Arabidopsis thaliana: one gene and its partner. The protein of the gene in region 1 interacts with the protein of each later gene in a pairwise test. Each region holds a gene or a part of one and is shown in the gene's direction. Other genes may lie near its edges.

The links.
Region 2: the proteins of LOG2 (region 1) and AT1G70280 interact in a protein complementation assay, tested with the Arabidopsis thaliana proteins (one large-scale study listed by BioGRID).

The regions. Positions count from the first base shown.
Region 1 is NC_003074.8:2,995,405-2,999,803, reverse strand, and holds LOG2 (RING/U-box superfamily protein), read left to right. Parts: upstream 1-1,548; 5' UTR 1,549-1,968; coding exon 1,969-2,471; intron 2,472-2,652; coding exon 2,653-3,160; coding exon of another isoform or gene 3,161-3,175; exon of another isoform or gene 3,176-3,246; coding exon 3,247-3,402; 3' UTR 3,403-3,625; downstream 3,626-4,399. Other genes in the region: AT3G09760 (RING/U-box superfamily protein), read left to right, coding at 4,353-4,399. UniProt on the Arabidopsis thaliana protein: Acts as an E3 ubiquitin-protein ligase, or as part of E3 complex, which accepts ubiquitin from specific E2 ubiquitin-conjugating enzymes and then transfers it to substrates (in vitro).
Region 2 is NC_003070.9:26,465,046-26,470,831, reverse strand, and holds AT1G70280 (NHL domain-containing protein), read left to right. Parts: upstream 1-2,027; 5' UTR 2,028-2,360; coding exon 2,361-2,448; intron 2,449-2,529; coding exon 2,530-2,610; exon of another isoform or gene 2,611-2,698; coding exon 2,699-2,875; intron 2,876-3,321; coding exon 3,322-3,492; intron 3,493-3,579; coding exon 3,580-3,792; intron 3,793-3,873; coding exon 3,874-3,962; intron 3,963-4,035; coding exon 4,036-4,746; 3' UTR 4,747-5,028; downstream 5,029-5,786.

The DNA.
Region 1 (4,399 bases):
CAAAGATGCATCAACATTCAACAGAGAACAAAGTTTAGTTTTTATATATATATATATGTCACGATCATAGGTCTACATAACTATAAATTGATACAATTGATTTTACAGATTTTACACAACATATGTATCCAACTTGATGATATATCCGGTCTGCCGTTTCCCACTATATATAGAGTATTTTATAATTGATTCCCATTTATTTTTCTTAGTTTATATATGTTCGTCTTTTGGAATTGCTTAATGAAAGTGTGTGCGAGTGGTTAGGTATGCGATTCTATTATGTCTCTTTATTTATTTTTGATTTCGAATCGCACCACTACCTTCGTATGGGAATGTTTCAATATGATATCTATCTGTATATGATCACGAATATAATTTGATTTTGATCAAAATCAACATGTAATATAATTTCACGTAATATCAAACATCCAATAGTTACAGTTTAATCTGGCTACTGAATATATATATATATATATATATATATCTTCCTTTGAAAGAATGTTTATATATTTTTATTCTTTGTGACGTTTTTTTTAGCTAATGGTGATCTCTTGACTCTAAATTCATACAAATTTTTTAAAAAATTAGCTTAGGGTTTTGAAAATATAAAAACTCTTTTAGGGCTTATGTTTTCTTTTTGGTCAACGGAGCTTATGCTTTTGTAGAAACACTAATTTTTAAGACATTAAAGTATACATCAGTTTTGTTTTGTGTTTTGGGTTAAACTTATACACAATTATTCAAAGACGACAAAACAAGTTTAAATATGAATTCCAAAATACCAGTTCATCTTTTCGGACTACTGTATATAAGAATATTATGTTGGCAAAAAGTAGGTTTATTATAGGTTAAAAATAAAAATAAAGTATAGCCTACTTTGTTAGGAATACATATTAAACTTCACACTAATTACTAGTAGATATTTAGGCAATATAAGTCTAGAAGCGGAAAGTAGACAATGCCTATTGCCTAGTATACATTTCGGACAGCACAAGTGACTTTTAACTCTTTAATCACACAGAAGACAGAACTATGCAATGATCGACAACTTCTTCACTCTGTAAAATATTTGGATTTCTCAATTAATGGTTTCTGAAAATAACATCATCTTTTTAAAGCATGAACAAATTAATCCTAATGTAGACCTAAATAAAAATCTTAAGACCATCTTTATCAGTAAAAACAAGGAAAGATTCTAAAAAAAAATAAAAATAATATTTTAATTAAAACAGATACATTAATTATTATTTAATAATTGAATTAATAGTATGATGACACTTGTCCAAATTGGATGAGAATAGTTTCTCAAAGTTTCTCGGAAGAGAAATTCAACTCTCCTTCTCTTCTACTTTTTTTTCCTTCTATCATACTTTTTCTTCTTTAATTATTTTTTTTTTTTATTGGGTATCTTATTGAGATACTTCAAATGGAGATGCTCTAATAATTAATGGGAATGTGTTTCTAATTAAAAAGATAACATCTTTCTTTCTATATTTTTGTCGTCATATAACACACCTCAACTCTTTTAAGTACTCGTGTTGAATTTTGTTTTTTGAAAAGACAAAACTCCTTATAATCAACGTAATTATTAATAACAAGGAGAAAAAAAGTCCAAAGAAAAAAAAAAGAAAGCTTTTTGGGAACATAAACACCATCGAAGGAGGGTGGGAGGTGTTTTATGTTCATGGGTGGAGCTTCTTGGCCAACCTGACCCCATTCATCATATCATTACCCACTTTCTTCTCCTAAATTATTCTCTCTTATCTCTCTCTCTCTCTTTTTATTTTCTTTCTTTCTTAATTCATCTAAACTCTCTCTGCTTTTGCTTTTCGTAATTCCTTACATTTCACTCAATATTAATCCCCAGAATCTCCGATCCACCCACAAATTTAGCAATTTTCTGAGATTTGATCATTTGGGTCACCAAAAAATCTTGTCTTTTTGATCTGGGTTTAACGCCAATAACATATGGGAAACATTAGCAGCAGCGGTGGTGAAGGTAGACGCCGTCGACGGCGAAACCATACGGCGGCTCCACCACCACCTCCTCCTCCTCCTTCTTCTTCTCTTCCTCCACCACCTCTACCTACAGAAATCCAAGCTAATCCCATCGTTTTCGCTGCCGTTACTCCCTATCCTAATCCTAATCCTAATCCGGTTTACCAGTACCCTGCTTCTTACTACCACCATCCTCCCCCGGGAGCCATGCCTCTTCCGCCGTACGACCACCACCTCCAACATCATCCACCGCATCCTTACCACAACCACTCTTGGGCTCCCGTGGCGATGGCCAGATACCCTTATGCTGGTCACATGATGGCTCAACCGACTCCTTACGTTGAACACCAGAAAGCCGTCACGATTCGTAACGACGTTAATCTCAAGAAGGAGTCTCTTAGGCTTGAACCCGACCCGGATAATCCGGGTCGCTTTCTCGTCTCCTTTACGTTTGATGCAACCGTCTCCGGAAGGTAGATTTCACTTTCTCCCTTTCGTTGATTTCGTGATCCATTTGAGCAGATAACACGTGAATTTTGTTGTGTTCTTCCTCGTGACTATGTAATTTGGATCTTCTTATTGCAATTTGATCAAATCTTCTTCATGTGTAATTGAATTAAGCTTATGTTATTATGTTGGACTTGTGAAAAATAGGATTAGTGTCATTTTCTTTGCTAAAGAATCCGAAGATTGCAAACTCACAGCGACAAAGGAAGATATACTGCCACCTATCACTCTAGATTTCGAGAAAGGACTTGGTCAGAAGTTTAAACAATCATCTGGTTCTGGTATAGACTTTTCGGTCTTTGAGGACGTTGAGCTGTTCAAAGCGGCCGCAGACACAGAGATCTATCCATTAGCGGTTAAGGCAGAAGCAGCTCCCTCAGGTGGTGAGAATGAAGAAGAAGAAAGGTCGGGGTCGAAGAATGCGCAGATTACTCAAGCGGTTTATGAGAAGGATAAAGGAGAGATTAAGATTAGAGTGGTGAAGCAGATACTATGGGTTAATGGAACGAGATATGAGTTGCAGGAGATTTATGGGATTGGGAATACAGTTGAGGGGGATGATGATTCAGCTGATGATGCTAATGATCCTGGTAAAGAATGTGTTATATGTTTGTCTGAACCACGAGACACCACTGTTCTTCCATGTCGACATATGGTAAGTGAAAGCTGATGATTTACTACTATTATGTGATGATGGACATATATATAGATGTTAAAAATTGTTTGGGTTTGGTGGTGCAGTGTATGTGTAGCGGATGTGCTAAGGTATTGAGGTTTCAGACAAATCGATGCCCCATTTGCAGGCAACCTGTTGAAAGGCTTTTGGAGATAAAAGTTCACGGTAACAACGGAAGCGGGAATAACACCGGACAGGGAGAAACAGTTGAACAAGAGTAGCTAAACACGGCCGAGTATGGATTGAAATGCCATCGAAATATTAGTAGTATATGCATGTTTGATCCTTGTATGTTAACAACAAAATGTGTGATTGTCAATTCATAATATAGAGATTACGAAATCATTTGGAGTCATAATGACACAATACTTGAAACATTCTTCATTAGATACAACAACAAAGTAGGCAGTTTCTTACTTAGCTAGTTGCTCAACCGGAAGTTGCAGTGGCAGGTGAAGCCATTTTAGTTGCAATAAGACAGAAACTTAAACATGGAAAACACGAGATATAGTAGCGGCAACATGACATTCAATTATATAGCTGACCCCTTCGTTTCTTATTTAAAAGGGGCAATCTCCAACGTTTTGTGGTCAAATGGGCCTGCATTTCTTTTTATCCGCCTCTACTATTGGGCCCTAAGCCCGAGTTTTCCGGTTTCGTAAACAATAGGTTCATCATACTTGTGTAATTTCAATGTTTTGGAAAATTCGGTTCACAGCTTCGTTAAAACATCAATCATCTCATATCTGTGACTCGTAGTTTGGTTAAAAAATGATCCCAAAAAAGAGAGAGACAGATCCAAAAAATCATCTCATATCTGTGTCTCTCTCTTTGTTTAAATTTAAAATGCTTGCCGTAGACAAAACATACAAATACGAGGCTGTAATAAACAAGTATTTAATATAATAATAAGGACAAATAAACGGACCAAATTTAGGCCGAGAAAATGGGACATTGTGATATAATCTCAAAAAGAATTGAAATTTGTATGATCGATCAGATATCTCAATTTCAGGAACCCAGAAAGAGGGACTTGTCTTTTACCTCCAAAGGGTTCCTGCCGTTTCTTTTCTACAATTTTTCTCCTGCTAATTATCAAATTTTTCTTCTGATTTTCATTGTTTGTTAGAGATTCTTCTTCTCCTCTGCTTTTCTATTCTCTGGGAGCTCGATGATGGATGATAAAGCTCGCAAAGAAGAAGAACATCATGTGTCTCA
Region 2 (5,786 bases), on another chromosome or scaffold:
ATTGGTAAGCTTTATTCTAATTATAGCTCAACTTGTCTATTTCCAGCCCATGAGGTTCAATCGTCACCAAACTATCAACTCTCACATTCCCAAAAATTATGTTGGAACCTTTTTTTTTCTTTTTTCTTTTTTTTTTTTCTCTTAAGAGTTTAAGCTATATACCAAGAAAATGATTAACTAAAATAATTTTTCTGTTTTTTGTAATTATTTTTTATTTATTTTGAATTTTAAAAAATCAGTATATTATTTTCCCTTTGATACTTTTTTAAAAAGTCCTATGAAAAACAAAAAGAGTTATCTCTTGATGAATCTTCTTTTCTCCAGTTAAAGTGTTTTATCAATTAAAGGGGACCATTTTTCACCTTCTTCTTTCCCATTGCTCCTTTTCTTTTGTTGTTTGGCTTTTACATTTTTCCATTTATTCTAAAAAACTTATTTCTTTTTCCCAACATATCACTATTTAATTTATGTTTTTTTCACTTTGCACTGTTTCCAATTTTTAGCAGAATCAGCATCCGAAGTTGCGAGGACCTAATTAGTCTCAAAAGTTTCATCTCATTTTTTCTGTTTTGTATGGGTTTATTACGCTGATTAGATAGGGAAAAATGGTATGCTTCAGAAGACAACTAGATGTGCACCGTTGTGCTCACATGAAAAGACAATAAATATCTCTTTCACGTTTTTTCGGCTAGCAAATCAACAAGAAAATGGTGGTCAAGTGGAAATATATTATATCTATATATATATATATTATATATATTAATGAATAAAAGCAGTGTCGAAAGTCTTGTAAATCAGCTAGTAAAAGGCTGATTGTCGCTGAAAAAAATGTTTGAGACATTGTTTTTTGTATGATCAAATGTTTGTAACAAAGTTCTTTTAGTAATAAGATTCAGTTGGGGGAAAATAGCATATGGAGTCTTAATTAGTATTGAGACTTTAAATATGAGAGAAGAGGTAAAAAAACAAACAACAAGAAGTGAATATACAATAAAAAATCAAAAGAGGTAAAAACAGAAGAAGAAGAAGAAGTGAATTTTACAAATAAAAATAGATAAGGCAGCGCGAAACAAGGATTTTGGTGGGAGAATATATGCACTGTTTGACTCTAGTCTTAACTCGTACCATATGTGATTACTACTTTACCCCTCTTATATTCATTTATCGTAACAAAAAGATCGAGTAAAATAGACAGACACGTTACCTTCGTACACGTGACGTACTCTAAATGGATCTTACATTGACACGTGTGTTTCCTCTATTGGATGTTTTGTTTGCTTGAACTAGTGGCCATTCAAAGAAAGCCACAGCACAATCATAAAATTAATAAAACTCTTTCTTTTTTGATAATATACACCATTTTTTTTTTTTCGTGTGCTAAAACCTAAACTTATTTCCAAAGTCTGTTTACCATTTTAATACAACCAGAATGATTCCATAACTAAAATCGCATTTAATACAACTTTCGTATATAATATGGTTATTGGTTTGAAGACTAATTAACATTTCAGTGTGTGATTTACTCAGTATTACAAAATTGTATGAACTCAACAAAAATATTTGTTATAAACACTTTAGCAAACCAACAAATCATCAGTGTTTTTTACATAGAACAAAATGATCAGTATAGTTTAAAAGTTCTTTACATTATTTTATAGGATTATAGATTTGACTATATATAAAGACATGTATGACTTATGTTCTTCACATATTATCAAAACCATCAAAGATGAATAAAAGCTCAATACCAAAAACTTTCATACTAGAAAAGTTACAATCTTTACCAAAAATCTAGTATATGATATAAACATTTGTACTTATTCTGTGGTTGTAGAATATATTCCATCACATAAATTTTAAAAGCTGATCTTATACATAAACTAAGACTAAAGTTGTTTAATCACCAGGTCCAGAGAATATAGTTCCAGCTTTATTCTACTAAACTCAAAAAGTTTAATTTTGATATTCCTAAAATTAAATTAATCAACCAACCCATACAAAAAATTTCATTCTAAAACTATAGATTAAAAAAAAGTAACGACGTTGATCGCATCACATGACTCTCTCTCTCACTCTTTTTATTCTGTCTCCTTCTAAATAAAAACTTTCCCCTTCCTCTTTTCTCACTGAGACACTGTCTTCACTCTTTTTTGCTTATCAACAAACTCTGCACAAATCTTAACCTCTCTGTTTCTTCTCTTTAATTCTCTCTTTCATCGAAAGAAACCTCAAATTTCAAATCTTCGCATTGTCCGCCATTCTTATACTTCCCCTAGAGAAGCTTCTTAGGGTTCTTAGTTTCTTCCTCTGCCGCGTCTTCTCAAGTTTAAAACTTGTCTCTTCTTCTTCAAATCCAATCAATGGGTAGAGATTTTCTAGTTCTAAGTATTCTCATTCTACTTCTCTCTGGGATTGTATCTTCAGCTCCTTCAGCTAATTCTCCTGCAAGTAAGCGTAATCACATTTTTTTAACTCTCTCTTCTCTTCGATTCTTTGTTTAATTGTTTTCAAATCTTACTCCTTTTGCAGAGATTCTTAATGGGTTTATCTCAAATCATGGCTCTTCACTAATGAAATGGTTATGGTCACTCAAAACCACAACCAAAACAAGTTCGAATCCTCTTCCATTTTCTGATCATAAAGTTTGCTTTTTAATCTTTTTCTAACGAATAAAGGTTTCTCTTTTTTTATGAATCAGCTATTGCAACGAGATCGATGGTGAAATTCGAAAATGGGTATAGTGTAGAGACTGTGTTTGATGGAAGTAAACTTGGTATTGAACCGTATTCTATTGAAGTCTTACCAAACGGAGAGTTACTTATTCTTGATTCTGAGAACAGTAACATCTACAAGATCTCATCTTCTCTTTCATTATGTAAGTACAAATTTTGTGGTTTATTGATTCTTGAAGAGATTGTGATGATGTTGAGACCACGATTGTGCTTTTGTCATCACTTCAAACTGAATGCACATGGGGACTATAGTACAAAAAGATGCTGCATATGGAAAAATTGATGGAATTTTTTGGTACTTCAAATTGAAAATTCTAAAGTCTGAGCTTTATTACTATTTTATGGAGATTTTGCTGTATCTTTGTCGTTTCTGGAGTGAGTTTGTCGGGGATGATATCAGTATACGGGTATAGTTTAGTAGTACATTTGTTTGCTGAATCTGACTTTTTCAAAGATGAGATCTAAAACAAAAGTGTTTGTTTCAAATGGTTCAGAATAGAAACAAAAGCTTATATTGGTTTGCAAAAGTGTTTCTTTCTACTATTTGGTTGAGTTTTATTTATATGGAAAGTATTGGAAACACTTGCAGATAGCAGGCCAAGACTGGTTACTGGCTCCCCTGAAGGATATCCAGGTCATGTTGACGGGAGATTACGTGATGCGAAGCTGAACCATCCTAAGGGGCTTACGGTTGATGACAGAGGAAATATATATGTGGCTGATACTGTGAATAATGCTATCCGGAAGATAAGTGAAGGAGGTAATAGCTTGTTCATAACTGCATTCATAGAAGGGTTATATATACGTTTGCATCTTGTACTGAGTTTTAAATGCCTATGATGTGAAGGAGTTACAACTATTGCCGGGGGCAAAACGGTTCGAAATGGAGGGCATGTGGATGGACCAAGTGAAGATGCAAAGTTTTCAAATGATTTTGATGTTGTTTATGTTGGAAGTAGTTGTTCTCTGCTTGTTATTGACCGTGGAAACAAAGCTATCAGAGAGATTCAACTCCATTTCGATGACTGTGCTTATCAGTATGGAAGCGGGTTTCCTCTTGGTAAACTTACAAAAGTACCAAACTTTTTTTTATGTTTGTCTCTTTTTTTCTTTGAATAACTCTGAATTCAATGTATTGCAGGGATTGCTGTTCTTGTTGCTGCAGGTTTCTTTGGTTATATGCTAGCTCTGTTGCAACGAAGAGTCGGCTCTATCGTGTCTTCTCATAATGTAAGTGCTCGTCTCAAAGACTACCCTGGCTTATTATTATTCTGCTAAAACTATTCAAATATTTCTTACACAGGATCAAGAAATGTTCGAAGCTGATCCTGATCAAAAGCCTATGAAACATTCCAGACCATCTCTGATTCCGGCTGGAGACGAGCAGCTAGAGAAACAAGAGGAAACATTTGTGGTATCGCTGGGAAAACTCGTTTCAAATGCTTGGGAGTCAGTTATGGAGATCCTTAGAAAAAAGCAGACAGGCACCAGCTTTCAGCAGTACCATGGGACAACAAAGCAGTCTGCTGCATTTAGCACATCAACTCCATGGCCAATTCAAGAGAGCTTTGTGATTCGAGACGAAGACGGACCTCCTCCTGTTGAGCCCAGGAACCCAACTCCAAGAAAGACTTATGCTTTTATGTCCAAAGATGCAGAGAAAATGCAGCAGCTACGTCAGAGCCGCGCATTCTACAGTAGCTGGGACGCTGAGTTCCCCAACCAGCAGCAACAGCAGCAAAAGCAGCACCAGAAGCATCAGCATCAGCAACAACAGCAGCAGCAGCATCGAAGGCATTACTCATCGATCCCGCATACTTATTATGAGCAGGACAGTGAAAAGTCTAATGAGATAGTCTTTGGAGCGGTCCAAGAACAGAGCAGCAAGCGTGTGGCTAAGCCTAAGCCGAAGCCTATAGAGTCTGGAGATCAAATGAATAATAATACTCAACAGAATCTTCACTACAGATCTCATTCTGTTAGTTACCCATATGGATACTATCCTAATACATGAAAAGTCTCCGGTTTTGTGCGTTTCTGAGATTATCAGTCTTCCTTAATAAGATTATGCAGGGAATTAAATTTTTTGGGTATAGGTGTTTGTATTGGGGAATTTTAAGAGTATGCTCTCGTCTTATGAGAAATGTCTCATACTTTGATTGTATTGGGTAATATATATATGAAAAAATGATATGATTATCTTTGTGAAAAAAGTGATTATGTACATTCCCTTGAGCTTGTTACAGCATTGTTAAATAAGTGTCCAACATAAGGTTTCTCATTTACTAGATTCATACTTACAACATCTTCGAAGTTTATAAAGTTCATTAGATTTATCTTGAGAGTTTCATCGAAGGCTTTGTGTCGGTGGAACAAGGCGCAAAGAACGATAAGATGAATACAACCATGGCTGACCCTATCATTTTAAGAGAAGCTATATATGTGGTATTAAAAGGAGGTTGGTTCAAGAGTGTAGCAAATGAGATTGGTTTCTCCCAAAACATTTGGAAAATCTCTGTGATTTTCATATATTACTTTTTTCAAGAATTTAGTTCAGGAGAAAACAAAGCAGATTTGATGTCATGTTACATTTTATTCAGAGATATGCATGATAAGTGATGGATTTATTTGGGTGGTTAAGATTACATACATGGTATCTTCACAAAAGTTTTGAACGTGATCAAATTTTTTATTTTTGTGTGTGACGAAAAAGAGAGTGTAAGACTCCGCGTGAAACAGAGGGTTACTCTGACGGAAGCTTAAATCAAAGACACATGAGAGGCACGTGATAGTTCGGTTTTATTTTCTTTTCTTTTCATTGTATATTTCTTCTTCCATACTTAAAGAGGAGTCTATATCACTCAAAATCTTACCGATCTTCACAACTCCAATTTGTTACTGAACCAGTTCATTTTCAGTAAAAACATACTAATCAACAGTACAATTTATTAAGATTCGTATGACTTGAAAAGTTGAAACAATAATAACCTAGTAAAAAGGGGATCCTCCATTAGATACTTAGGAAAATATTTTTCTTTTCTCCTGGAAATGTAT